Rhinolophus ferrumequinum: one gene and its partners. The protein of the gene in region 4 purifies or fractionates together with the protein of the main gene of each other region. This does not show direct contact. Links are inferred from orthologs where the notes say so. Each region holds a gene or a part of one and is shown on either strand. Other genes may lie near its edges. The genes, in order: GRB2, MAPK1, PPP2CA and OTUD5.

Region 1 (6,843 bases), on a different chromosome or scaffold from region 4:
GCCCAATCTGGCTGCAGTGTTTATAATGACCTGAAAGTGGGCAGGCTGATCAGTGGGCAAGCAAGAGCAGCCCTCCAGGAAGGATGGTGGCGTGCACCTGGTCAGGTGATAAAAATGGAGTCAGGAGGTAGAGGAAGGGAAGTCACAGGAATTGGTGTCCCATTAATAGGCGCAGCCTCAGAAGTCACCCTCGAAGCCTGAGAGGTGTATGCAGTCTTGGCTCACAGCTTGAGCAAGGAAGATTCTAAGAGGAAAACTTCCAGGATCAATGGAGCAGGTGGGAGTAGGATTTCAAATGACCAAGTTTAGGTTATCACTGGATGGCTGGTTTTTTTCTCACTAACTAGAAGTTCAGAAATGTGGGCTAAAAGGATGTGCCCGAGATGGTCTTGAGGCCGCTCCCAAGGCAGGGTCAGGGCAACTGTTAGGCCAGTTTCCTATGAGCTTTCAAGGTTCAGTAAGTTCCAGGGCAATGTCCAGTTCTACCGGCAGGCGGCAGCACCACAACTCACAGAAATCAAAGGGAGAAACCCTTTGCAACGCAAACCCCAATCGAAAAGAGAGACTTTTTGATGATTAATTTGTGCATTCCGAAGTGATTGATGTGGCCAGTTTGTCACTAGCAAGTTTTGCTACAGTTACAACAGGTTTTCATTACCAAGGTGACTTTTACTTCACAACTTGCCTCTTAACTCTAATTTCTTTTCGTATTAGATATTAGCCATACACACATTCAAAATATTACTGCCTCTATTGTGTTTATTTTCTCTGCATGGAAATGATCTTGGGAAGGGTTCTCTCAGGTTTCTGAGTCTGTGCCTGCAGAAAATAATTTTTTAATCGAAAAGACAACATAACAAATGTTGAAGAGGTTTTTTAAGTCACCCACAATTGCTTCAACACAATTACCGTGTTTCCTGGAAATAAGACCGGGTCTTATATTAAGGTTTGCTCCAAAAGACGCATTAGGGCTTATGTTCAGGGGATGTCCTCCTGAAAAATCATGCTAGGACTTATTTTCCGGTTAGGTCTTATTTTCGGGGAAACTTGGTAGTATTTTTACTTTTAAATGTTCCCTTCCAAATCTGGTCCATATGCATATATCTCTACACAGACATGCTCAGAGTCTGTTTTTATCAATGTTGCATTTTAAAAGGAAGTGCATAATTTTTTTTCTGTTCTCTTAGGCATTTAGTCTCTTCTGAGATCTCACCCACTTCCTTAGCTTCAAATATCACATTGAACAGAAAGGCAGCTCGTCTTTATCTTTCCACAACCCGTTATTTATTTGCTCATCCACCCATCCATGTATTCACTCCCTGCACTGCACTGTGCTGGGGGCTGGAAATGCAAATGTGAAAAGGTGTGGTCCGTTTTGTCTGGGAGCTTGTAGAGCTTGGGGTGGGATGGGAGTGGGGAGTGAAGGTACAGTGGGAATTTGGGGCAAGGAACCTTAAAACTGAGTTGGGGGCCTAAAGAAAGGGAAGAAGGCCAACTAAGCAGAGGAAACTGCATGTGCTAAGATATGGACACTCAAAAGACCATGGCCCCTTCCGGAAACCACAGTAGTTTAGTATTGGTGGAGTATGTGTTGGCTGGAGCCTGAGAGGTGGGGGTGACAGGCAGAGGCCAGATCCTAAAGGGTCATGCAAAGGACATGAAACATTACCTTGCCGATGATAAATATCTCTCCTGAAACACTGTTTTTTAACTCTTAGGCTAACCAGGGTCTCAGCCTAAACCTCCCTCCTCAGCATTCTCTGATCCTGGTCTAGGTCAGGTCCCCTGCTGTATGTTTCCAAAGCTGCCAGTACTACAGGTGCCATATTCTTAGAAATATGTCTTACTCTTTAGGCTGCGAGCTCTGTGGTGGGTTATCCCGCTCTCTACAGAGTAGATGCTCACTTAATGCTGTGGCAGGAACAAATGGAAGCAGTGAGCTTTTCGACAGCATGCTGGATATTTCTACCTTCATGTTCTCCTGGAACGATTAACTCTGCATTTCCAAAACAGGAGCATCAGCGTCTCCTCACCTGCCCCTTCCCTGCAGACCTCCTCTTAATCCCCTCTCACACCCTTACCCTATCAGCTACCCATTTGACTGGCAAATTTCTCTGTTATTCTCCCCACTCAAAAGAAAGAACTGCAACTCTTCCCTCACTTCCTCCTCCTCTCAGCTCAGCAGCTAAGTCTTTCCCTTTCATTTCTATTTTTTTTCTGGCCATCATTCTAAAACGAAGTACGATAGTAGGAAAAATATGGTTTTTAGAACAAGAAAGGCCTAGGTTCAAATCTTGGGTCTATTATATTTGGGTTTCCCTGAGTAAGTTACTAACCTCTCTAAACCTCAGTTTCTGACTCTGTAAAATGGGGATATTATCCACCCTGTAGAAACACAGTTACTTTAGTACACATCAGGTGGTAAATAAACGGTCCTCTTGTTATTTTCACATCATATCAGACATCTTCTGCTTAAAGACCTTCTGAAGTCGCATATCACTTGCCAACAAAACCTAAGCGATACATTTTGGCCTTGTCTCTCATTACTCCTCCCCCTAAATCCTAAACTCGAGTCAATCTGAAATGTTGGCTGATTCAGCCACTCTTTCCTCCTTGCTTCCATGTTGCAGATCAAACACCAAGTCCTCCCTGATTACCTGAGTACCAAGTAACTGGCTCCCTCCTCTTCAGCCCTTAAGTATTTCAGTGGCACTCAGGGCCAGCTGCTTTGCCTTGCAGTCTAGGCAACTCTCCTCTAGATTACAAACTGCTGGAAGCAGTGGCTTTGCCAGGTTACCCTGCATCGCTCCTTGCGTGTCGTTGATGCTCAATAAATACTTGGTGAAAGAAAATTCATTTTCCTTATTTCGATGGGCTTGTTTTTTTCTATAGAAGCAAATGTTTGTTTATTCTCACTTCAATGCTATTTGGCTTCCAGAGAGCACATTACCATTAGATGCGTTCTGTCCTCTCCTTTAATCGGAAAGAGCTTTTGGAACTGAAAAATGAGTTACTTCTTCAAGCCTTATCTGCCACTCCCCCGTACTCACCCCGCCTGGTTCGGGAATCAAACTACTTAGCGTTGCTCAGAACACGACTCTCTCACGCCTCCGTTCCTTTGTACTTGTGTGCCGTTCCCTTCCCCTGGAACGCCCTCACCCCTTCTTCTCTGTCTGGCGAACTCCTACTCATCCTCCAAGGCTCAGCTCAGACATCACAGCATCTTCTCTGGGAAGGCTTTTCTGAGATGGACCCAGGGGCGACCCCTCCCCCTATTCTTTTAGCTTCCCTAGCATTCCCCAAATAATTTTAACAATACTTGTGGCATTATTTGTTTACTTTTCTTCCACCCCTCTAGACCGTGAATTCCTTGAGGGCCAGGATTTCTGTTCTTCCTTGTACCTTGTATACCTAACACAGTGCTTAGCACATATTAGGTCCTTAATTCAATCAATGAACGACTCTATTAATTCATTTAACGTTGCTGAGTTTGTTTGGACCAGATTCTCAAGTATTTCAAGACCTATTTGGGGTGCTTCATGCAAGGAGGAGATTCTGCCCCGCTCCCCCAGTTGCTTTGATTTGGTGAAAGGGGAAGGGAAGTGATTAGGGTGTGCATACGAGTGATTCCTTCAGGGTTGAGCTGTAATTTACCGGCTCCGGCATCGAGCGGGTTACAGCGACTCGGGGGCGGAGCCGTGCGGGTGCCACCTGCTGCGGGGCGGCCTGGCGCCTGCGCCCTGGCGTCTAGGTCTACCTGCGAGGGCCTAGCAGAGGAGCGCTTGCGCTCTGGGCCTTTTCCGCTGGGGGAAGTCTCGCGGGGGCGGGGCGGGGCCGCGCGGGGAAGTTCTCGCGGGACCCCGAAGAGGAACGGAAGCGAGGAGGCTGTGCTGCTTCAGAGACCGGGCGGCGGCGGCGACGAAGACTGTGGTGGTGACAGCAGCGGGAACAGGCGCTGCCCTCGGGGAGCAGCAGCAGAATTGGCGGCCGCTCGCACCGCTGCGGAGGGGCCGGCCGGGCGCGGAGCGGAGCAGCTACGCCACGGTGAGTACGGCCGGCGGCGGCGGCGCTGCTGCTCCGGTGCTTTTTCTTCCCCGCTCCGCAGCGGGAGTCGGCCCGCAGGGACCCGGCCCAGCCTCCCGAGAGCTGCCGGGCCTGGGGGTCGGGGCGGCGAGGCCTGGGGCGGGAGCGGAATTCCCGGGGCTCCGAGCTCCACGTTTCCTCTTTTGGGGCGCTTCCTTCCTGGGGACCATCCTCCCCCAGCCCTGGGCTCGGGACCGACCCACTGACCCCGGAGCAAGAGGCCAGGGGCTCCTCATTAAATTTCATGCCATCTTCTTGAGGGTTTGCGCAGAAGGGATCTGGGAGAAGTCCGACAGCAGCGAGTGCTCATTCTGTGAGTCAGTCTGACTTGGCCCGGAGGCGGGGGATTCGCTGCGGGCTGCAAATGTGGTGATTGATGCTCCTTCGACCTGCACGGGCACCACGTCACCATCTCCTGGTGTCTTTGGGCCGAGTTTTGGGAGGGAACCCACCAACCCGATTAAGACCATGACTTAGAACGTTTGCTGCCGGAGCCAGTCAGGATGCCGTTACTTCGGCTCCCCTCCCCCTTTTTGAACGATTCTCTGAAAAATATTCGTCAAGAAAAATCAGCAGTTGGTTGGAATGCTTCGAGGAAAGATTTCAGGGCGAGAGGCGAGAGAAGCACTGTTTTTCATTTGCAACGCTTATCGTATGTGATTGTGATCCCTGTGAGTTATAGCTTGTTTAGGGAGCTATTCTAGGCTGGCTTCAGATGCTGTAAAAGTACAAATTGCAGAGGACCTGAAATGCACTCGAGGTCTGTTGGTAGTGGTGAGTCTCAGAAAAGGATCGAGAAGACCCACGAGAGAAATTACGTAGCATTCGTCTCAGGCTTTCTCGTGCCTCTTTGACTTTGTACTTCTCCAGTTGTTGCCTTCCTTTTCTATGTACTTCTCTTCATTCCACTGCGGACGCTAAGTGCTTGCCTTGTGTAATGCAAGTCACTTGCCCCCTCCCCCACCTTTTTTCTAATCTACTTTCCCTTCCTCATTATTTTCCCCTCGCTGGCATAATTTTTCGAGGTTTCTGCTCTTTGGAGCAGTTCGTTTTCTCCTTCATTTAAAGATTCTGTTTTCTGTCTCTTGGAAGACACCCTCTTTCTTGCGTTAACCTTTCCTTTTACGCGTCCACTGTGTTCTTTCAGTCTGCCAGAAGGATTGCTAGAGAGCCATGCGAGACTTAAATTCTCCCCCTGGGAACTGGGAGGCTCAAAGGATTGAATTCATCCGTGAGTAATCAATACTGCCACTAGGTCACAAGTGTAGCTTGCCTGTCTCATTTGTGTTTTAGTTGTTTTCTTCATTTTAAGATCCTGCTTTTGTGCCTGCTCACACTTTTCTTTCTCTGTCTCTTTTATATTAGTAAGAGTGGGTCAATTTGGGGTTTGTATGACTTGGCTTTTAGTGGGGGGGTGGTTAGGTTAAAAAACGAAAACCAACCATAGATTTATTTGTTCTGCTGCCCCTTCCCTTGTTCAAAATTTTCTGAATCCCCAAATAAAAAACAAAGTTAATTCTTGTAATCGGCTTTCTTTGATATGAAAAGCAATCATTTAAATGCTTGAGGCGGTTCATTTCCTCAGCAGGTGTATTCAGATTTGAGGGATTATTGGGTTTTTAAATACTGCTAGTTGATGGTACTTAGAGATTTTTCTTAGTAATTCCTATTATGTTGCATGTGTGCAGCAGTTCTAATTGTTACGTAGAGCAGAAGAGTAATAGACTTTGTAGAAATGAAGTAATACAGAATAGAGACTGACATGCTCTCGAGAGAAATTAATAGTTACTTGCTTAATTCAGAACTTTCTGGCACTACTGCATGACCATTGAGAGTCTTTGGCTTTCTTTGTGAAAATTGGCTTTTTCCCAGTTGTGCCAAGTGAGTATGTGAATATGCATTTTTTTCGTTTTATGCAAAGACATTGTGCATTATCTGGAATGCAAAGCTTAAAATCTGGTGAAGGCACCTTATAGTACACCAGTGATTCTTAAAATGTAGCATGCTCAAGAGTTACCTGTGAATCTTATTTAAAATTAGCTTCTGGGCCTAAGACCACTACACTGCAGAATTCCAGAAGGCACCCCACAGTGAATCAGTCTCTAAAAGGGGGGATTTTGATGCAGTTGGTCCAAGGACCAAAAGTATTGTTACAGAACACAACCATAAAATCATGAGACTGGAGTGTGGCTTTAAATTCCTCAACTTAAAATTATACTTTCTGTATATACAAAGGAAATATTTAAAAACCTAATAGAAATAAGTGACTATAGACGCGATTAGTTTTTATATGTGTAAATATTTGAGCATTGTTAGAATTGTGAGGTGGACCAATTTAAAGTTTATACTTAATAGGACTGGTAATCTGTCTTGTCGCGTCCAGCACAACACGGGCAGTGAGGGTACGAGAAGGGGCAGCTTTGGGTTAAGTTTTAAGAAAGAAACATACAGAGACTTAATGCAGTTAAATCTCAGAAGGCCAGGGGTCTCACAGTTCTGAAAGACTGGAGCCCAGAACAAAGCCGACTGGAGGTTTTTATTGATAAGTATACAAGGGAGTAGCAGTGTTTTTGGCACGGTCTGTGGGACTCACTTATCACGTTATAGAAACAACCCAAACCAATTATGTTGTCTTCAAATAGCCGAAGCAGCAAGTCCTTGAGGTGAGGTCTACAACTGCTTTAAGGGACATACATCACATGTCGAAATGGTTTCACAGAGCTGAGCAGAGAGAGCTTTATCTTATCACTCTCAAGACTC
Region 2 (7,106 bases), on a different chromosome or scaffold from region 4:
ACCCCCTTCCCAATTGTTTCTTTATTTTTATTTATTTATTTTTTTATTGGGGAAGGGGAACAGGACTTTATTGGGGAACAGTGTGTACTTCCAGGCCTGTTTTCCAAGTCAAGTTGTTGTCCTTTCAATCTTAGTTGTGGAGGGTGCCATTCCGCTTCAAGTTGTTGTCCTTTCAGTCTTAGTTGTGGAGGGCGCAGCTCAGCTCCAGGTCCAGTTGCCGTTGCTAGTTGCAGGGGGCACAGCCCACCATCCCTTGCGGGAGTCGAACCGGCAACCTTGTGGTTGAGAGGACGCACTCCAACCAACTGAGCCATCCGGGAGCTCAGCGGCAGCTCAGCTCAAGGTGCCGTGTTCAATCTTAGTTGCAGGGAACGGAGCCCACCATCCCTTGCGGGACTTGAGGAATTGAACTGGCAACCTTGTGGTTGAGAGCCCACTGGCCCATGTGGGAATCGAACCGGCAGCCTTCGGAGTTAGGAGCATGGAGCTCTAACTGCCTGAGCCACCGGGCCGTCCCCCCAATTGTTTCTTAAAAAGACTGAGTGTCATTGTCCTGGATCAGGTCACACATGCATCCTTTGAACTAATATCTGTGACTCTGATTGGGGAGCCCTGGGTCACATGCTTGCTCACAAGAGTGCAGAAGAGACAGAAGACAGTTCACCAACAGAAAATTTGGTTGTGCTACCAGAAGGAGGAGTTGATGCTGGACAGGCAAAAGTAAGAGATGGCCATTGTTTTCTAAAATCTGTGAATTGTTACCACTCTAGAGAGACAATAAGGAAGACATTCAGGTGGCCAGCTAGCCATCTGACTAGGGTCTTATGCTTTGATAGTAGTTTAGTTTTATTTCAGTGAGTCTAGTTCTCAGCTTTGTGCTTCCAGAAGTTTGTTATTGTCACTGAGGCTAGATAACCTTTCCCTCTGGGCCTGTATCATGCTGATCTGACTCAGTAGAGACTGATGTATAAGTAAATCCCATCTTAGAATGAATAGTAATCTCCAGAGGACCTGAATAGTGCTGTCCTCTGGTCAGTGCACTTTCCCTGTCAGAAAACCACATGCAAAGCTAAACTCTAATTATAAGGTTGCATGGAGCCAGGCAAGAGAAGTTCTCCGGAGAAAATTAGTGATCAGGTGCATCATGCCATGATAGTGTGGTGGCTTTAAAAAGTCCACAAACGCTGGAAGGGTGGAGGGAGATTAGTATGGAACATGGAAGGCAGAGTAAAAGGAGTTGGGGTGGAGGGATGGTCGGCATAGACCTCAGTCTGAGTGCAGTGGGGAGCCACTGACTTGCTTTAAGAAGGGGAGTGACATGGTCAATTTTGTTATGGAAAGACTACCTGGGTATGAGGAGAAGCCATTGGAGATGGGCAACACTGAAGGCAGAAGAGTCAAGGTGAATGGCAGTGGGAATAAAGTGCATACATTTAAAACAGTGCTTTTCAAAGTTTAATATGCGTACGAACCACCTGGATCTTGTTAAAATGCAGATCCTGATCCAGTAGGTCTGAAGAGGGACCTGAGATGCTGCTGGTCTGGAGACCATGTTTTGAGTAGTGACTATTTCAGAAATATTAAAGAAATAGAATTTACAGGAGTCTGTGATTGTTTGGATGGGGGGAAGGGATGAGAGGGAGGTAAAATGAGTTGTTAAGGATCATACCCAAACTTCCAATTTGAGTATCTGGGTGAAGATGATGCTATCCACAGATACAAGATGAAGAACAGGTTTGGTGGGGTAGATAATAATAACATAACATGTATTGGATACTTACTATGTGCCAGGCTCTTTATGTATACTGTTTTATTTAGTCTGTACAACAAATTTATGAGGTTAATACTATTGTGATTTTCATTTGAAGAGTGAGGAAACTGAGGCCAAGGTCACACAGGTAGTATGTGGAGCAGCCAAGACTCAAACCCTCTGGAAGTGTGAGTGCAGAATGCGTGCAGTTAACCATTGGCAGTTTGGATATGCGGAATTGAAGCACCTGTGGGATGTCATGTGGTCTGTCCAGAGGGACATGCTGACCTGGAATTCAGGAGAGATATTCTGAGTAATGGTTAAAGATCTGGGAGGAATTAAAGCATTGGAGGGAATGAAACCATCCATGGAGGTTTCTAACCTACCCCCTCAGAGTGCTATTAATCTTATTCCATTTTCCTTTGGGCATTTAATTATTACAGAGGAGGAGTCTGAAGACAACTAGTTTTTAGCTTTTTTGTAAATAATCTTTTCCCCCCCTCTGATTGGATTCTCTTACTGCTTGTTCTTTACCCCTGAAATTTAAGAATTTTTCCAGATTTCCAGATTATGTCTTAAAGTTGGTTTCTGCTGATTAATTTTTCTGGATCCCAGTAAACTCACTCAATTTTTTACCTATACCTCAGATCTTTTTACACCTAAGGCAAGTTTTCTTTTATTATAACTTTAATTATTGATTTGTTATGTCTTCTTTTGGGGGATGCCTATAGTTTGAATCTCCATGATATTCTTGTATCCATTTTCTTCTCTCTTACAGAATTCCATCACTTTGAATATTTCTTGTGTTTATATTCAATATTGTTGATTTGTTCTTCTGTATTGTCAAATCTGCTCTTTACTGCTTTGACCAATGAATTTTACTTTGGTTATTGTGGTTTTAGTTTCATATTACTCTCCATTTATCTTGGCCTGTTTTTAAAAGATGCAATGTCCTCTTGAAACAGAGAATAAGAATTAGGTGTTTTCTAAAATTGAATTCTGCTTCATGAACTAAATATATTTCAAAGTACTAATTTTTGGCTCTAGCACTTTCTTTTCTCATGTGCCACATATGTTTTTTCCCACAGGGCTTTTCTAAAAAGTTGCTCATTCACCTTTGAGATAGATTAGTTGATCTTTGCTGATGTCTGGAAGTCCAGCATTGACGGCTTTCAAGACCACAGTGTTGGACAATCAGGATGCAAGGTCTTCCACCCTTACTCTGTTCAAAGATAGTATAGGAAATGGTTCAGAAGCAGTGGCTGGATCATTTTGTCTCGTCTTAGCGATTCTTGGCTTTCAACTGCTTCAGGATTCCAGTTTTTATTTTTCAACCTATGTTGTTTGTGACTATTTTTTAGCCTCAGTGTGTATGTCTCATTTTCCCTAGTTCTTGATGCTTGGGTTTAGCGTTTCCATCTTTGTATTTATCAGTATGTCCTCTAAGTTTCTGTCCCTCTGTACCAATCTAGGTCTCACTCTCTGAATCTCTGTGTCTTTCTCTAAGCGTCTCAACCTACTTCAGCAGGTCCTCAAATAACATGGATTGGCCACGGTAGGAACTTAACTCTTGTTTATATCAATTATCCTATAGTAAAATTTGTTTCCTTATAGCACCCTTTACTTAACATCTCAGACCTTTACCACACAACTTGAGTAATTAGTGTATATATATATATATATATATATATATATACATATATATGTAAATGTGTCCATCTTCTCCCTCTAGAATGTAACTTGTATGGGGGTGGATGCCCAGGAACTTGGTAGGTACCCAACGAACACTTGTTGAGCGATCCTCTCTGTCTGATTAGCGGATCCTGCCACCTTTGTGTTTCATACTTTCTCAGTATGCAAATGTCTTTCTCGGTCCCGGTCATGCCTTTTGGTTTCTGTCCTGGTCTCAAGGTCTCTAAGTTTGTGTGTGGGCCACAGACTAGCACAGGCCGGGCCCAGGCCTGCAGCCGGTGTGTGGCGGGTCGTTGTCCCTCACACGCTGCCCTGGGTCGCTCTTAGGCTTAATCCGGACCCCGGTCCGGGTTTTCCCCTGCCCGTCTCTTAGGATCACCCCTTTGGGTTCTCTCCCAACAACTCGGATACCTCCAGCCTCTCAAGAGCCACTTTCTGCGCAGAACTCCCTCCCCCCCGACCGCCACAATAGCACGTGACCACGTACGGCAGTACCGCGGGCGCCGCGGCTGGCTCAGCCGCGGAGCTCCGCCCTGAGCTCGCCGCTTCCTTCGGCCCGCGCAGCCACGCCCCTAGGCCGCGGAGAGCTAATCCTCGCGCACGCTGCTTGGCCCCGCCCGGCGCCCTCCTCGGCGCGCGCCCCTCCCTCCGCCCGCCGGCCCGCCCGTCAGTCAGTCAGGCAATCAGTCGTTCTGGGTTGCTGTGGGTTCTCCAGGTCTTCGGAGCGGTTCCCTCCTTGCTCCTTCCCGGTCAGCAGCAGCAGCTGCACCAGCTGCGGCGCGGTCCCTCCGGGAGGCGCGGCGTAGGTCGAGCGGCGGCTGCGGAGCGTCGAGCTCAGCCCAGCGCGGCGGAGGCGGCTGCGGCGGCCCGGCAGCCAACATGGCGGCGGCGGCGGCGGCGGGCGCGGGCCCGGAGATGGTCCGCGGGCAGGTGTTCGACGTGGGGCCGCGCTACACCAATCTCTCGTACATCGGCGAGGGCGCCTACGGCATGGTGTGGTGAGTGTCCGCGCCCGCCCGCAGGCCTGGCCGCGCCTGCCCACCCCATCTTTCGGGGCCGCAGGGGACGCAACCGCGGCCTCGTCCGCGCCTGGGCCTCCCGCGCCGCCGCGCCCCCAACCTTGGGCTTCGCTGCGGCCCGCGCCCCTGGGGCTTCGGGCGGGGCCCTGGGGCCGGTGGAGGTTTGGGTGTTGCTCGCGGCATTTCGCGGGCTGGCCCTCGCTCGCCGTCGGGAGGGGCGCGGGGGGCGGAGGCCAGGATCCCGGGTGTTGCGGGCTCCGGCGCAGCGCGGATTTTGAGTCAGGACCCCCAGGAAGGGAACAGAAGCGCCTCCCCCACATTCCCCCTAATGCCAGCATGGTGGTCTTCTTTTTGACATCCGATTGTAAAGCCGGGAATTCCTTTAGATGCTTGTGGGTCGGTGGTGGTGGCGGCCGGGATCGTGAAAGCGGTTCGCCTCGTCTTGTGTGTAGAACACCGAAATGGATCTATTTTCCTTCTCTCGCCTGTGTTTTCCTCGAACGGCTTTCATTAAATATTTTCAGTGGTACTAATGGTGCTCTAATGCGCAGGCTTTCTAAAAAGCATTAGTGGCACCAGTGTTGTGTAATATTTCAATCTTGAAGTTTTTAAATGGATTTTAATATCGTGCTGTTTGTGTTTCTGGAAGGATAAGCCAACAACGTTTTCCTGATTTATTAAAGAGTCGTTTGGAATTGGGCCTAATTTGACTCTCTTTCTTTACCCCGAGTGAGCTCTCTTACCAGCATAAATACATCCACACGTTAAAGAACAATTACTGTGGTCTTTTTCAGTTAATGTTTTAGTGGTTAGTATATATGCAGCCTTAATGGAGGTCTTGCAGTGTTACGTGCAGGGTTCCTCATCTTAATCTATATCCCTTGGAAACGGGGAACGCGGGTGACGATATTATTTTTATTAGAACCAACTAGCTAGTGTTTTATGCTGATGGAGACATGTGGGAGTGTAGATTCCCTTACACCTAAATCTTCTTGTGACTTGTCTTTTATGTTGAATGAAGGAAGCAAACACATTTATTGAACACTAAGTGGCAGGTACTTTGTTAGGTACATTATCTCATTTTATTTGAAGAGCCACCTTGAGGGAGGAAAAGGTGGTGATATCTGTCTTTCAGGTGAGAAAGTATTTCGAGGTGAAGCGAATTTCTAAGGTCATACAATTAAAGAGTCACACTTGAGAGTGTAGACTGAGATCCTAATTCAAATGCTGTAGCTCTTTCCATTACATCTTGCTATCCTTAAATAGTGTTACTACCATTTCCCTGAAAATAAGACCTAGCCGGACAGTCAGCTCTGTAAGTCCCGGTCTTATTTTACTGTAAGACCGGGTCTTATATTAATTTTTGCTCCAAAAGACACATTAGAGCTGATTGTCTGGCTAGGTCTTATTTTTGGAGAAACACGGTATTAGTTTTAGAATTTGAGCATATTTTGTTATGAGCAAATCTATTTCAGAAACACATTCAAATTTGAATTATCATAATTTTAGAAACATAGAGGGCATAGTTTACCAAATATGTTAGCTAGATAAAAAGACCAGTTAAAATTGTGTTTTTAAAGAAAGACTACTTGAATCTTGAGTATTCTCATTCTGTTCAGGAGCAAAATGCTGCACGGTATACAACTATGAAAATGAACGTGAACTCAGAGGCTTATGAGCCAATAGAGAAATTAAATTAGGTCAGGCCTAAAAGAAAGAAAAGCCTTAGGAAGTAACGGAGAAACAATACTGCCCACAACATCACTTCTCTGTCATACATCTGATTGCTGTTGCACCTGCTGGTTAAGTATGCCAGTAAACATGTCTCACTATAAGAGGCTCAGAATTGCCCATCACATCCTTCGGCCCTTTTTAAAAAATTAGCATCCAAAATATGGACTGAAGGGCTGGCCCGGTGGCTCAGGCGGTTGGAGCTGCATGCTCCTAACTCCAAAGGCTGCCGGTTCTATTCCCACATGGGCCAGTGGGCTCTTGACCACAAGGTTGCTGGTTCAACTCCTTGAGTCCCACAAAGGATGGTGGGCTCCGCCCCCTGCAACTAAGATTGAACACTGGCACCTTGAGCTGAGCTGCCTCACAGATGGCTCAGTTGGTTGGAGCACGGGCTCTCAACCACAAGGTTGCCAATCGACTCCCGCAAGGGATGGTGGGCTGAGCTGCGCCCTCCACAACTAAGACGGAAAGGACAACAACTTGAAGCTGAACGGCACCCTCCACAACTTGGGGAAAAAAAGTCCTGGAAGTACACACTGTTCCCCAATAGTCCTGTTCCCCTTCCCCAATAAAATCTTAAGAAATATGGACTGAAAAAATCTTAGGATATTTCATTGAAAGGATTTTTTCCCCTTTCTGATAGGATTTTTACTAGTCTGAAGATGATTTTAGGTGTGGTAACTTTTCTATCACTGCTGTAGACTTGTTTGACCTTCTAAATCTCTTATCAGGCCTAGTCCTCTTACTGTGATTTTCCTTTCCTGAATAAAATACAAATACAATTGGAATTAGAATTCTGGGTCCAGATTATAGCTTTTGATTTCATGTTGATGATATACGCTAGTAAGTAGTTAATCTACATTGCACATTATTAGCATTTAATAAATATTGATTAATAGTGCGGGGTTTAT
Region 3 (7,308 bases), on a different chromosome or scaffold from region 4:
TTTCTCATAATCAAAGAAATTATCAATTATTACCAAATAGCTATTTCCAACCAGTACCTTTTCTTTTAAAAAAGAACTATTGTACTAATGAAAAAAAAATTTCCCATCGAGATTTTCAAAATATGTAGCTTTCACCAGATGTGTTACTGACCATACAAATATTAACAGTGAAAAGAGAACTTTTGTTTTACTAGAAAGACTTGTAGAAAAGATAATTTCAAGTCATGTATGCTAACTCATCCCACATACCTAAAAAACTGCCTTCAAATTAATTTAGTTTGGGAGATTAATACCAAAAGTTGAAATATTCATGAGTTAAAAAAAGTATGAAGGCTGTGTGATATCCCCCCCAAAAGGATCCATTTCTTGGAAACCTAACTTCCAATCTTACTTCCATCTTTTTGGCTCTAAAAACTGAAATCCAGACACGCTGGATTAACAATGGAGATCCAAGAATAAATTGATTAATCTCACTACATCTTAATTTTTCAAAGACGTGGAAAACAATGAACATTTTTACCAGATGCACCAAGCTTCAGCCAATCCAAATTACCATGCAATATTATCTTCTATAGTCTCCAATACAAACCCTCTACACTACTGTGGTCCATCTACTGGTCTCCAACTAGATTCAGGCTCCTTGAGAAAATTATTCTGTGCTGCTTTCCATTCCCCTCATAAGAGTAAGCAACCTTGGATTTCAATACAAACACAAAGTACAAATTTAAAATGGAATTGTATAATTTCAGATTAGAAGAGACCCTGGAACAGATTTCTGTTTTAACTCTATTATTATAGACAAGAAAATGTGGACCAAGTGAAGTGGTTGCTCCAAGGTCAATTACTGTGGCAGAATTCTAGTGTACAGGTGGAACTTGCAGTCAGTCTTCCAATTACATCATTACTTCTCTTCCAATATTTTCTACACAAATGACTAGTCACCTACCCAACGAATGACTCAAAGTCTTCATGTAAAGCACCTAAGACCTAATAATATACACTGAATAATTTTTTAAAGCCTATTTCTGAACCTTTAAAATAAACACTATCCTCATTTGACACAGTAGAATTAAGGGTCAAGAAGCACAAGACTCAACATATTGCTACCATTACAACGAAGCTTTAATAGATAATGTGCCACCTCATCAACTAGGCGAGTTTTGTTCAGGCTTGGGATAAATAAATGTGAGTTTGAGTCACATTGCAATCTACAGTATAGTTTCCGAAAAAGCCTGTTTTAGGAGCATATACACCAAACCCATGAACCTAATTTTCACATCTAACCACAAACGAGTCAGCATAGTTGCTAATAACTCTCTTTACTAATACAAAATTCTAATACGATATCCCACAATCCTGTACTAAAAATTAAATGCTTCCAAGTTAATTTTGAAAACGGAAATTAAAATGGACTTATTAAATGGACTACAAGATTCCATTTTCAACACGGGAGATAAATTATTTAAACACTAAGCACAAAGTCTCGGATACAGGAAAGGCTCAATAGACAGCTATTATTATTAATACTATTACTACTTAAAGCCACAAAAATACAAACGAGTAACTTTTCCAAGGAAGAGCCAGGATACAAAATTTGCTGGTTTTGTTGCATTTAAAAAATAAATGGCAAAATGCCAAGCTTAGAGAAGGGTTTCACACTACCCAACTTGAGTCAGCATATAAATCAGAGACTAAACTGACACTTGATTTCCAATCCCCAAACTCCTTAGGCAGTATGTATGACTCACCAAATTCTCCATTTCTTCCAACTATGAAAAATAAGTTCTACTCCTCCCTATATTTTACCATGACCTTCGTAGACATTAGGTTAGAGGTTTATTTTTAAATTCTTAAGAAACACGCTTTAAAAAAAGTCTCTGGAAAAGACTGCTCAGTGTGTTTAGCCCCAACCACCCAGGATAGTACTAATGCTGTATGACCTTTAGACAGGTCCTGGGATCTGGCCTACAAGCTTGCTTGCCTTTTGGGGGATCCTCTAGATAGTTTTGGAGCTGAAAATTCGTCCCGAACACAAGTAAAAGGCCTCTTAGCCACCTCACAGTAGAGTCTCAAGCCCCATTCCCAGGCCGTAGAACCCAAGTCCTCTTACTCGGCTCTCAAAACCGTCCCCAACCCTGACACACAGGGTCTCAGTTCCCACAGCACCCCGCCCGACACCTAGGCCGGGAGGCTCCGAAGCCCCGGAGTTGGGTGAACGGCGCCATTTTAGGCGGCAGTGGCGGCGACATCCAATCCCTGCGCGGGAGGCAGGGGGCGCCGGGTCGCCCGGGAATCGCCGCGGGGCCGCACCAAGCCGGACGCAGGTCTGGGAGGCTCAGGGGGCCCGGGCCGGCGGCCTCCGCCATGTTGCACCCTTCCCACGGCCGCCTCTTTCCTGGCGGGCTCAACCGCGGCCGCTCCCGCAGCCGAAGTGCAGCTCACCTTCTCGCAGAGGCTCTTGACCTGGGACTCGGAGAGCTGCTTGCACTCGTTCAGCTGCTCGATCCACTGGTCCAGCTCCTTGGTGAACACCTTCTCGTCCATGATGCCACCCGCCCGAACCGGCTGCCGCTCCGCGCTACTCCCGCGCCGCCGCCCGCACACGGGCCACACGCACACGCCGCCGCCGGTTCCCGGGGTACTTGTGTGGCTACTGGAGGTTGCTCGGCGTTAGCGCTAGCTTGTTTGCTCGCCCCGCAGTGCTCAGCCACCGGCCGCTACCCTCCTCCGCTCGCTCTAGCACCGGAGCTCAGCTCTCTGTAATGGCGGCCGCCGGCGTGGTGACGTCACGCCCGGCGTCAGGAGGCGGCGGGGTGCGGAGGGGTAGCAGAGAGACCGAACGAGCTGCGCAACTGCAGAGCCAACGCTAGTCGGCCGCCAGACCGGAGTCGGGGCGGGACCAGGGCCCAAGACGCAGGCGCAATGGAGCCGGCTAGTAACAGGCACCTTCGCTTTTAGGGCGTGGTCCTCCAGAAGGGTGAGGTCCGGGGGAAGGGAGACCGAGTCCCAGCAAGCGCGGGGCTCGCAGCCTGGAACTGGGCTAATCCCAGAGCACGGTGTCCTACGCGGTGTGGGCGCGAACCTGGCGCAGGCGCAGTCCTGGCGCAGGCGCAGTCCAGACGGGAGCAGAACTCCCAGCTGCCAGAGACTTTTTCCCAAAGGTGCTGCCTTGCGGCTCTTCACCCGGCGACGGCGACCAGTTCACGGAAATGAGAATTGCGACCCCACAATTCCTCCATGGTGCAACAGCGCTGAAATTGCATAGGATTCTGGCATCTGTGACGGCGGGAAAGGGCGCCGAGTGGTAGCCCAGTTGGATGCCACCTCCGTCTCTGGGTGGCACCTTGTAATTAGGTCACTAGTAGGCGGAGGAGGGTGTACCTCCCGGGGGGAGTGCCACACGTGCATCTGACTCCCGCGGCACACACCCGTCTCGGGCCTAGGTGTCTCGTCGGGCGCGATGGCAGGGCCGAGGCTTGGGCTTCTCTCTCGACCTTGGACCTCACCTACTTTCCACACGCCCTTTGCAGCCTCGCCCGTTGTCGCCTTCCGCCACAGGTGTGCGCCCCTCCTCAGAGTCCGGTTTCTCCTGGGAATGAGAGACACTCTCCCCGTCTCTAGACACACACACACACACACACACACACACACACACACACAACACAACTGCACGCCCTAGTCTGCTTTCTAGAGGAAGGCGATAAGGAGATATCTGGACGCATAGGTCCTGACGGCAAGTGGTGGTGTTAGAAACAGCTACGATCTGTGCTTTAAAGTATTCTTGGATACTTTGCGGTCCGACTTTGGTCTGGCTATGGATCTCCTTGAGGTTTGCCATATGTTTTCACATTCCATTGTTCCTGCACTCACAGAAATACCAGGGGTGCTTAAAAAGTGTATTCATGACTTGTATTTATCTTTTGTTATTGGTATATATTATTTATAATTTTAATAGTTTTTTTCTTTCTTAAAATGTGTATACTTTTTTTTGGCACCCTCTATATTTGGCTCCGTAAAGGGCTAGCTATATGCTAGATCCCACGCCTAAGAGAGGAGTCCATGCCCTGGTGGAACTTGTATTCTCCCAACAATACTCTTAAAATGGTCTGCAGATAGATAGAAGAGAGATTACGGTGTCCACAGGATCTGAGCGAAGCTTAGCAAAGGACATTTAACCTTACAGCCCAAGGCAAGCGTTGACCCTGGTGTCCTGTCTTCCAGACTTCCTATCCCCAATAGCAGTGGACCCTGTTCCACCCAAGTGCTCAATGATGTCCTGGAGGAGGGAGCTCACTGCAGCTCTGAAGGAGAAGGCCCTAGAAGCCCAGACCAACCAATGGAGGGACTGAAAATTTTCCGTCAGCAAAGACGACCTGCCTGGCCAGGCTGACTGGCTTAGCCTTCCCAGGCTGCAAATTGCAATTCTGCTTTCCTTTTGTACCTCCCAGGAGTATGTATGCCCAAGAAAGTACCTTAGATCTACTCTCCAAAGGCTTATAATATAGTTAATTTACTAGACTGGGAAGTGTTCTGTTCGCTGAAAATCTGGCCACGTTTTGTAGTTAGTGTCCCTAAATAATAGAGGAGTAAGAGTTAATACCATGTAGAATGAATGAGGAAAAAAGTCATCACTCGGTGCCCACGATTATAAAGCCAGGTCCAGTGGGCTATCTTATTCTTCAGGTTGTCCTGTACCTTTGTGAGAACTGGTTCTGTCTCATAGGGCAAGAAGCAGACAGGCACTCAGAAAAGAGAAAGGACTTGCCCAAAGTAGTCATCAGGATTTAAATCTTCATATTCTCAAGTGCAAGATCTCAGCCTCGCTCACACAAGGATTGAAATATGGAATAGGGTCAATATGATTTCCTTTACCTGAGTTCTTTTATCTACAAAGGTGGAGGTGATGTGACTTTGGTATATTAAAAACTATTGAGCACCTTCTATGTACTAAGATTGTAATGAGTGGGTTTTTCCAAGGTGCTGTGAGCTCCTTGCTGCTCGCATTAATGTAGGTATTATTTATTTTCTCTTGATGCCGATTACTTGGTTTACTACCATCACAAAATGGAGAGAAGACATAATTATATATACTTAAAACATCCTGCCAAATAATCAGATGCCATGACTTCTTAAGCAATGAATTCTAGGAAGCCTTACTAGCATTCAAGCAGTGAAGTAAAGCATACATGATTATAAACAACATAGAACTAAATCAGAATGTCTTTTCCTTTAGAAGAAATCTAGAATGTTTTCTGATTCTGTGGAACTCAAAACAGCTAATGGATCTGAAAATTCAGTGTGATTAGTCTGGTCTTGACTAATTGGACCTGACCGTCTCAATTCTAGAGCTGAGGAATACTTGGAACAAAAAGTTAAACCAAAAAAAATTTTCCTTTTAATTTCTTGGCAAAAACCAGAGAGTGAATGAAGCAACTATGCTTTGAGAAAGAGTCTTTGCTCAGATGGCAAGTTCAGTATACAGCGAGTCGCCTATGATGTTCAAACATAGCTCTAAATAAAAATCATCTGATGGGGTGGGGTGGGAAGAAGATAAACTTGAGCAAATAACTTTATAATAGGCGCTCTAAGCCAACAGATTAAAATTAACATTAAACATGATGAAGGAATGCGATGTATCTTATCAGCCATTCTCTCTCGGTCTTCTGTTAGGTTTGTTTTGTTCCTTCCAGTTCCCTGAATTCTAAACTTACTGAGACAGAAGGGAGAACTGTGTAGGTAAGAAGCCGCTCTGGAATCAGATCGACCTGGTTTGAATTCTGGTTCTGCAACTGCCTCAGTGTGTGAAGTTTGGCAAGTTACCTAACTTTTCTGAGTCTCAGTTTTCTCATCTATAAAGTGGGGATAATTGTAACAGCCAAATAATAGGATTCTTCTGAGAATTCAATGAAGTTATAAATGTAAAACACCATATGGTATATAATAAATGTCCAGTAGGTATTAGGTAATATTCTTTTTATTTCTAAGTGGTCTCTGATTCTAAATATCCTAATGCCAGTTAGAGCCCCTTGATGCCTGCCATGAAATACGTAGTGGTTTTTGGAAACAGAAAGTAACGGTATCAAAAACATCATATAGACACAAAGCCATTGGGTGAAGTAGAAATGAGGGAGGAAATTCAAACAAAGAGAAGTAGAGGTAGATAAAAAAGAAAACCCCTCTCTTCCCTTGCCATCAAGCAAACATTTAGAAGGCTTATTATGTAGAGAGAAAATCACTGAGGAATAAATGCAAGAATTAATACAGCTCGTCGGTTTTATGCTCCTGTCAGCTCAGAATCTGTATCTGAAAGGGTGCCATATCTGCTAACATGCTCTTCGCATCTAGGCCTTCTATGCCTCAGACGTCCCAAAATAAAGACCTGAGCAATCAACATTTTAGTGGCTTGGCCCATGAGAAACCTGCCCTAATCTGGCCAACTAGACCTGCTTAACTACCAGAAGATTTCTGCACTCAGGATACACGATGGTGTTTGCAACTCATTGATATCTATCCCTGTTGCTCTCTGTTGGGATTTTCAGAAAAATTCAACTTTTTTGTCCTTTCACCTGGAATTAGAACTTTATAAGTGTGGCCAAAATTTTGTGGCCAGGAACTTGCCATAGACATACTACAGCCCTTTCCCCTAGCGACTGCAGTTTAAAGAAAAAGAGAAATGACCACGTCCCCTGCTAATGTCCTTGACATCCAGATACCATTCTCAGTTACAGAGGAAATATTTTTCTCTACTACAGGAAAAAAAACACAAAACTCTCTGGAATGGAAGGCAAAGTTCATCATTCCAGAAGGCTAGGTAAACCTTAAAAATACTGTCACCAACTTTGCACCTATCCAAAATCTTACCATAGAAGTATATTTAGTGACAATATTATTCACAGTATATTATTAAGTGAAAAAAAGTCCCTTGTCAAACAGCATGTGTGCTATAATCCTAATTTTATTAAATATGTATTATAAATATATGTTTATGAGAGGTATTAAACGTCAGTTGCTTCTGGCGAGTGGGATTGGTTTTTTATTTTCTTTTTAGTTACTTGATTCATCTGTAATGAAAACATACTGCTTTTATAATCGTGAAAAGAAAATCTTCAGAATGTCTGAGTAAACGTGACCAAGTACCTCTTAAGGGAATCACAGGCCCAAAGCACACGCAGCCAACAGTTCTGTTCAGTGTTCCACTACTCTCTGGAATATTACGCAAGGGCCCCACTTTCTTGTGAAAAGAAGTTTCACCTCTCCTGTGGCCTTCTCACATGGCCTCCTCACAAAGCATTTCAATAGAGCCTATTC
Region 4 (8,010 bases):
TTTTTGGTGTGTGCGCTTGTTACGGTCCAGGCACTATTCTGAGCACTTTGTATCATCTGTTATCTCATTTAATCTCCACAAGCACCCTATGACATAGGAAATGTAGCAGGTCCTTAAATAACGTCATTTTTTTATCATGTTGATGATAAAATGCCTAGGAACATAACCCTTGTTTATATCAGTTAGCCTCTGCTACAACTGGTTTTCTTAAATGTCGTTTCAGTTAAAAATCACAGAACATATTGACCCTGTTAAGTGAGGACCTACCGTATTGTTATCCCCATGCTACAGATGAGAGAAAAGAGAGATTTAGAGTGGTAAGAGTGGGACCAGGATTTGAACCTAGGACTCTCTGACTCCAGAGCCCTTACCCTGTACCACCATAATTGAGGGTGCAGGGGAAGCATTTAGCACAGTGCCAGCGACCCAGTAAGCACTTAATAGATGTCATGATTGCTGTGGCAAGTATTAAGATGACTTTCTAAGAACCTTCCATCTTTCCATCCACAGCCGTTCAAGCCTCAATGCCAAGCCCCATGGCAGCCTTGACCTGAACTGCGACAGCCGGGACTTCGTGGCTGCCATCATCAGTATACCCACCCCTCCTGCCAACACCCCAGATGAGAGCCGACCTTCCTCCCCTGGTGGCAGTGGTGGTGGCAGGGCCAGCAGCACCCTCAGGAACTCCAGTCTGGGTACCTCTTGCTTCCTCCCTGAGACTGTCAAGATCTCTTCCCTGTGAGGGGTGGACCTGCCCATCCAGAGGGCCCTCTTGATTCTTGAGGGCTCCTTTCCAAAGCCATATTTTGGGGAGGCAGGCAGCAACAGGCCTGGGGACCCCTTCTGCCCCCCACTGAGAACTATGCAATGGAGTTTCATGGAATCACCCACCTTGTGGGGACGTAGCCAGGGAATGGGGCACTTCCCCACCTCAGACAGTTTTCCTGGTGGGAGCTGAATCACTGGGCTTCCTCAGGCTGCTGGCCTCCTTGCCCCAACACACTAGGACCAGGCCCTCTCTCCCAGGGGGCCTTCTGCATGCTCCTCCCCTCGGGCCCTCAGGCTCCCACCTGATATCTGAGCTCTGGCCTGAGACGAAGAGGTGAGACTTCCTCTTCTCTCTGGCTGGGCTGTGGCGATTTGGGGGTTCAGAGAAGAGAAACATCACCTCTGATCTGGTCCCTAGGAGAGGTCCCCACCCTTCACCACGCCCAACAACTCCCAGATTCTGAAGCTTGGAATGCAACCACAGGCTTCATGGGCTGTGGCCTCAGCAGTGACCTGCCACCCCCAGGCCTTGGCTCAGGGTCAGGCTGCCTCTCCTAACACACACAAAGATAGCACAAACACTACACCCTTCCCTGGCTGCTGGAAATGGGTCCCCACAACCCTGTCCTCCGCTGGGCCCCCAGCAAACTCTAGCAATAGCAGCTGCTGCCATGACATTATGCAAAGCCTCTGCCCAGTTTGCTGCAGTATATACATCTGCCCTAATCAGAGGGGCCACCTCTAATACTCCTCCTTGTCTCTGCTCCTCTGGTTTGCTTCCTTCCTGGGTTGGGCTGGAGTCTGGACTGGGTGAGATAAGCACCTGGCAGCCAGCAAGGGCTGGGCTGGCTTTGGAGCTCATGGGCTGATTCCTTGTTCTTGGGCAGGAGTCCAGAACGCTGAAGCCTGGGTTGTTCTTGAACTCTGGGAGTTGTAGGAGGCAGGGGGAGCTTCTTGATCTCCTCCTCCTCTTTCTCCTCCTCCTCCTCGTCCTCTTCCTCCTCCCCCACAATGCCTTTTCACATATCCCTCTCTCTTCTCCCCCTTGGGTCACCTTCCGGAACTCTGTGTGTGCTCTCAGGCTGATATCTGGCATCATCTCAGGTTCTCTGTCCTCAACACTGTCCCTGAGGAGCTGGTGGCTGACAGAGATGTAGTTTCCATCAGTCAATAAAATCTGAGAGGAGAGCTGGGGATGAGCACCTCCTGGCTCTGTGTGTTTGGGGGCTGGGTTGGGCTGATTTCAACTATTAGAAGGGCTGGTGTGGGTAAAGGTATGGGAGATGGGTGGCTGGTGACATGTTCTGGAAGATGGGGATCTAGGAGAAATGAAAAAGGGGCGAGGGGTTGAAGAGTTGAATCTCCAGCCAGTGAGGCAGGTTAGAAGGTCCTGAGATATGTCCCCTTAGACATCATCTGTTCCCACCCCCTCACTCATAAATGGGGAAACTGAGACCCAGAGCAGCACATGCTTGGCTAGGGGAGACTTAAACACAGGCTTCTTGACAGCAAACTATTCTGAATTGAACCCCAATGAAAAGCATCTCTCAATGTGGCAAATTACCCTTCCTTGTGGATGTCCCCTATATGTCGTCTTCTGGGATACTGAGTACACGAGGCTAGTGTGGGAATGAGCTGTGTGGAGCACCACGAAGACAGACCTTGGATTCAGGTCGACCTGGGTTCCAATCCCTGGGAAAGAGAATTACCATATTTTGCCATGTATAATGCACTCCATGTATAATGTGCACCCACGTTTTTGGCCCAAACTTTCAGGGGGGAAAATCTTTTGTTTTATTTTTTTAATTCAAATTTTTATTTGTTTACATTTAGGTACTTGTTTTTTTGTATTATAAAGGAATTTTAGTTTTGTTTTTTCTTAAGATGGGCACAGCTTACAGTGGCCCATGCTGGGATCAAACCGGCAACCTTGGTGTTATCAGCACCAGGCTCTAACCAACTGAGATAACCGGCCACCCCCTAGCATTTATTTTTTAACATATTGTGGTACAAGAAATTTTATGTAACAAATAATTACAAAACACAAGGCACAGATACAAGGCACAAGAAATTTTCCGTACTGGTAACAAATTTATGATGTTTATGCATCCCAGAAGCAGGAGAATGTCACACAAAGAATGAGCTGGAGTTGGCCAGGCAAAAGACGAAAGGATGAAAACGTTTCAGGCAGAGGCAACAGCATGTACAAATGATCCGGAGGTTAGAGTGAACTTGGGGCCTTTGGGGAATTGAAATTAGTTGAGCAGAGCTGCAGAGGAGAGTGTGAGGCTGTGGTTAGGGTAAGGATGCAGAGGTAAGCCAGATCACAAAAGGCCTTTGAAGGTAGGATACAGATTTTGGATTGCATCCTAAGGATAATGGGACCTCCTAAGGCTTATAAACAGGAAAGTCATCATCAGGTTTGTGTTTCAAAAGGATCATTCTGGCTGTGGAGAGTGGATTCTAGAGAAATAGTCCTGGAGGGAGGAAGCGCAGTGAGGAGGCTTTTGCAGTGGTCTAGTTGGTAGGTGATGGTGGCTTGGACCAGGTAGTGGCAGTAAGAGTTGGAGACTCGAGATTTGAGAGGTAGAATCGGCAGGGCTTGGGACTGACAAGCATCTTGGAGTTGAAGAAGAGGGAGCAGTCAAGGCTAACTCCTAGGTTTCTGATTTGGGCAAAAGCTCAGTGGGGATGCCATTCACTGTCAAAGGGAACATCACAGTGCCAGGCACACAGCAAGTACTTAGTGATGATGAGTTACAATTATTATCATAAGTTCAGTTTTTCTTTTTTTTTCTTTTTTTTTTTTTTAAGGAGGGCGCAGTTCACAGTGGCCCAAGCAGAGATCGAACCGGCAACTTTGGTGCTACCAGCAGCACGCTCTAACCAACTGAGCTAACCAGCCACCCATAAGTTCAGTTTTAGATGTGTGGTGCTGGAGAAATATCCAGTAGGGAGTGGGGTATGTGGGTTGAGTGAAATGGTCATGAAAAGATCCAATGTGATAACATGCATAGGCATTGGGCACAATGCCCTGAACAAAACAGGCACAGTTAATGTGAGTCGTCTCCCATTACGTAGGTCTCATAAACAGAAAACACGATAGTTAATTTATTACTGACACCCTTCAGGGAAGACTTCAACTAGGGTTGGCATCTGAAGGGAGGTTAGGTGGCACTCAGAAGAGCTTTCTGATGGGCTCTCTTTCAGTCCACTGGTTGTAATGTCTTGGCTCCTAAGACGTAGGGAACCCTCACCTCTCACAACACCTTGGTTTATTAGCTCTTCAGAACCTCATAACTACTCCCTGAGGTAGCATGGGCAGGCATTATTCTCGTTTTACACATGGGTAACCTCAACTTTGAGACAGTGTTATGCTCAAGGTCCTACAGTTGGTAACGGTCCATCTGTGCATGGAACTGAGGTCTTCCTGACTCCAAAGCCTGGGATCCTTTCCGTTGCACCACCATGCCAACTAATTTACTGGGCACTTACTATGTGCCAGGAACAGCACCAGGCCCTTTACAAGCATGAATCTCTAATCCTTACAATGGAGTAATCGTGGCCAATTTACAGAGAAGTAGAAATTGAGGATGAGGTGGATGTTAAATAACTTGCCAGAGATCATGCAGACAAGGAGAGGCAGAGCTAGGATTAGCTAGTAGATCTCTCCAGCTGCTGAGTGGCAGGGATTTTACCATTGTGAGATGCTGGCTGCTGACAAAGCTGGTTCATAAAGTGTTTTTTTTTTTAAATATTTTTTATTGGGGAATATTGGGGAGCAGTGTGTTTCTCCAGGGCCCCTGAGCTCCAAGTTGTTGTCCTTCAATCTTAGTTATGGCAGGTGCAGCTCAGCTCCAAGTCCAGTCGCCGTTTTTTTCAATCTTTTCAGTTGCAAGGGACTCAGCCCACCATCCCACGCGGGAATTGAACCAGCAACCCTGTTGTTGAGAGCTCACGCTCTACCCAACTGAGCCATCCTGCCACCCCTCCCGCAGCTCAGCGGCAGCTCGTTGTCTTCAATCTAGGTGTGGAGGGTGTAGCTCACTGGCCCATGTGGGAATCAAACCCGCAACCCTGTTGTTCAGAGCTGGCGCTCTAACCAAGTGGGCTATCCGGCCGCCCAGGTTTATAAAGTTTTCGCTGAATCCAGGTAAACAGTTATTTTGAAGGGAGGAAAAGGCTGTGCCACGCCTGCGCACTAGCCACAGGGCGGGGAGGTCAACGGGAGGGCGAGAGTGCCGCGCTGCCAAAGAGGGCGTGTCTGCTTCCCAAACACCCACTGTCCCCACGGTGCTCGTCTGTCCCAAGGTTCGTCCGACCGACGCGAGTGAGGGCATCTCTTAACCAATCACCGCAGCACTCCGCCTGTTGCCAGGGTGAAGTGGAGCCCGCCCCTCCACTGATGTGGATTTGCAGGTGGGTGGGACCGGAACTGACGCTTCAGAGGATTTCTAGGCTCTGGGAGTGTTATTTTCCTGTCAGTCCCACTGACAGCGGCCAAGTTGGGAGCCTGGGAGGGAGGTGCTTTTAAAACTGTCCTGCACAAGGCAGGCCACGCTGTCCTGTCACAGTACCTCCGCCTGCGAGTCAGAGCCTCGGGGACAGAAGTCAAGAGCAGAACGACGCCGAGGAGAAGGCCAGGACCCAGGGTGCTGACTTTGACTGAAATCCGAGACGGAGGAGGGCGCAGGAGGGCGATTACTCTCTTCTGATTGGCCCGTGGACGTCAGCGAGGACCCACGCAGCCGCTTCGATTGGTTGGTGCCTGTAATTGTTGTGGCGGCGGTGAAGATTTTTGCCCACGTACTTCCGAGCGAGAGGCAGGGCTGTGCTCTGGTGCGCGTGCGCGGTGCCCCAGGGCCCCACCCGGTAGTTCAAGAACCTGCGAGGGGGCGGGGCGAAGAGGTGCTTGTTTTGGTTCTGTTTCCTTTGAAGCAGAAGGCCGGAACGAGCGTAGCAATCAACTTGCCGAATTCGGAGAGAAGGCGACGACGAACTCACCGCGCTGCCTTCACCTTGGACTTCACATCCGGGTTCTCCTGTCGCGTGACCTGCGCGCCGCCGACGATTCTTGAACCCGTGTTTCAATCTCTTTATCCGGGTCCTCCCGGCGATCCCGTCGTGCTTCGCGCATCACAGTAGCCCCCTCATCCGGGTTCTATCCCGGCGTGCCGCGCGCCGCGTTTGCTGAGGGGTACTTGTCGGTGCCGCCATGACTATTCTCCCCAAAAAGAAACCGCCGCCTCCCGACGCCGACCCCGCCAACGAGCCGTCGCCGCCCGGGCCTCTGCCCCCGGCACCGCGCCGTGGCGGGGGTGTGGGCGTGGGCGGCGGCGGCACGGGCGTGGGCGGCGGCGATCGTGACCGTGACTCGGGCGTCGTGGGGGCCCGTCCGCGGGCCTCACCGCCGCCTCAGGGCCCACTACCGGGGCCACCGGGTGCACTTCACCGCTGGGCATTGGCTGTGCCGCCCGGCGCCGTGGCGGGCCCCCGGCCACAGCAGGCCTCTCCTCCTCCTTGTGGGGGCCCCGGCGGTCCCGGCGGCGGTCCGGGTGACGCGCTGGGTGCATCGGCTGCAGGTGTGGGTGCGGCGGGCGTGGTGGTTGCCGTGGGCGGCGCGGTGGGCGTGGGCAGCTGCTGCTCCGGACCCGGCCACAGCAAGCGGCGGCGTCAAGCCCCCGGGGTTGGCGCGGTTGGCGGTGGCAGTCCTGAGCGCGAGGAGGTCGGCGCAGGTTACAACAGTGAGGACGAGTATGAAGCGGCAGCAGCACGCATCGAGGCGATGGACCCTGCCACTGTCGAGCAGGTATGAGCTGGGGGCGACAGGTGAGCCGTTATGGTGGGTGGGATCCCCAGACTGGGTAGCGATCCAAGAAAGGCTGTTTAAGATCTCCCCAAGGGACCTAAATGCCTTCTCCCGAATCTTGACACACTTTTTTCTGCTGGTAGGGGTGTGAGACACCCTCTTTCTCCACTCCTTTTCCCCGAGGACTTGAGGTTAGAGGCCCCAGATAAGACGAAGGACTTGAAGATGGGGTCTGCGGTCTTTTCCAGGTCCTGAGACCTCATCTTGTAGGTCCAGTAGGTGGGAACCCCCCAGGAGACAGAGGCAGAATGGCATGCCTCCTGAGAAGGGAGTCTCATGACTCTCCAAGAGAGAGTCTGTGTTCAGTGGCTTGAGATTTCTTTTCTTCTGACATAAGAATCTAAGAGTCCCCCTCCAGGGAACACAAGTAAGATGGAGACCTCAGATATCTTAGTGTTCCCAAGATACCAAACCCTTTCAGGGGTCTGAGATACTCTGCAGAGGACAACCCTTCCACCTCCTCGGGGACACAGCACAGGACCATTCAGCAGTGGGGTCTGACACTTTTCTAAAATCAAGGGCCTGACACACACATACACATCCCCTGTAGAGAGAGATCTTCTGAGCTTTTCTCCAGGGATGTAAGACTTATCTTGAGGAGGTAAGATTCTCTTCCCCTGAAGGCAAGGACCAAGATATCCAGGGACCAGAGACTCTACTAGGGTATATGAGACTCATTCTGTAAGTGACGAGGGTCTATGCTTCCTCTCAGTAATCTTGAGAACTCCTTGGTGACAAGAGTCTGAATCTCCCAGAGCTTAATCTTCTTTTAAGTGATAGACCTTTGGCCCCTCTCCCTCATCCCACCCAACACCACCACCACCACCAGGCCTGAGCCTTTCTTCAAGAAAATGAGGCTCACTGTTTTGGATGGTGGAACCCTAAGATTCCCCTGCTTAAGGACTGGGGCTGCCAGAGACTGGGTCTGATACCCCCACAGAGGTTTCAGGCCAGGTGAAGTCTTTAGGAGATTTTTTTCTTCGAGGACTGGTGTCTGAGTGTTCTCCTTGGGGGGGGGGGTCTGAGACACCTCCACACACACACACACATGAGGTCCTTCTGCCCCAATTATGAAGGACTGAAACACATCTTGGGGACTTAATAGCCCCCTCTCCCCTTGAAATAGATCTGAGCACTGTCCCCTCCCTCCCCCTGACAAGTGCCTGAGCTCGTCAGGGACGTAAGATTTCTGCCTTGGGAACTTGACCCTGAGACCATTCTTCAGGGACATCGGCAGCATGGAGTCCCAGAGGTGGAATCTGAGGGCTCCCCACGGATCTAAGCCTGTCTGCAAGGGCCGGAGACCCACTGTGCCAAGGACACTGGAGCTTTCCCTCAAGGACAAGAGAGCCATACGTACCCCAGTGACTGCT

What was found.
Region 1: the proteins of OTUD5 (region 4) and GRB2 purify together in Homo sapiens (affinity purification with mass spectrometry; 3 studies listed by BioGRID and IntAct, with this or other methods). This does not show direct contact. The link is inferred for Rhinolophus ferrumequinum from reciprocal best matches to the Homo sapiens genes OTUD5 and GRB2.
Region 2: the proteins of OTUD5 (region 4) and MAPK1 purify together in Homo sapiens (affinity purification with mass spectrometry; 3 studies listed by BioGRID, with this or other methods). This does not show direct contact. The link is inferred for Rhinolophus ferrumequinum from reciprocal best matches to the Homo sapiens genes OTUD5 and MAPK1.
Region 3: the proteins of OTUD5 (region 4) and PPP2CA purify together in Homo sapiens (affinity purification with mass spectrometry, with the first as the bait; 3 studies listed by BioGRID). This does not show direct contact. The link is inferred for Rhinolophus ferrumequinum from reciprocal best matches to the Homo sapiens genes OTUD5 and PPP2CA.

Annotation. Positions count from the first base shown.
Region 1 is NC_046304.1:50,382,540-50,389,382, reverse strand, and holds the start of GRB2 (growth factor receptor-bound protein 2), read left to right. Parts: upstream 1-3,838; 5' UTR 3,839-4,044; intron 4,045-6,843. UniProt on the Homo sapiens protein: Non-enzymatic adapter protein that plays a pivotal role in precisely regulated signaling cascades from cell surface receptors to cellular responses, including signaling transduction and gene expression.
Region 2 is NC_046308.1:22,851,379-22,858,484, forward strand, and holds the start of MAPK1 (mitogen-activated protein kinase 1), read left to right. Parts: upstream 1-4,086; 5' UTR 4,087-4,321; coding exon 4,322-4,440; intron 4,441-7,106. UniProt on the Homo sapiens protein: Serine/threonine kinase which acts as an essential component of the MAP kinase signal transduction pathway. MAPK1/ERK2 and MAPK3/ERK1 are the 2 MAPKs which play an important role in the MAPK/ERK cascade.
Region 3 is NC_046307.1:10,228,785-10,236,092, forward strand, and holds the start of PPP2CA (serine/threonine-protein phosphatase 2A catalytic subunit alpha isoform), read right to left. Parts: upstream 3,005-7,308; 5' UTR 2,545-3,004; coding exon 2,443-2,544; intron 1-2,442. UniProt on the Homo sapiens protein: Catalytic subunit of protein phosphatase 2A (PP2A), a serine/threonine phosphatase involved in the regulation of a wide variety of enzymes, signal transduction pathways, and cellular events.
Region 4 is NC_046284.1:85,709,521-85,717,530, forward strand, and holds the start of OTUD5 (OTU domain-containing protein 5), read left to right. Parts: upstream 1-4,996; 5' UTR 4,997-5,528; exon of another isoform or gene 5,529-5,607; intron 5,608-5,709; 5' UTR 5,710-5,983; coding exon 5,984-6,577; intron 6,578-8,010. Other genes in the region: KCND1 (potassium voltage-gated channel subfamily D member 1), read left to right, coding at 511-742. UniProt on the Homo sapiens protein: Deubiquitinating enzyme that functions as a negative regulator of the innate immune system. Has peptidase activity towards 'Lys-48'- and 'Lys-63'-linked polyubiquitin chains. Can also cleave 'Lys-11'-linked ubiquitin chains (in vitro).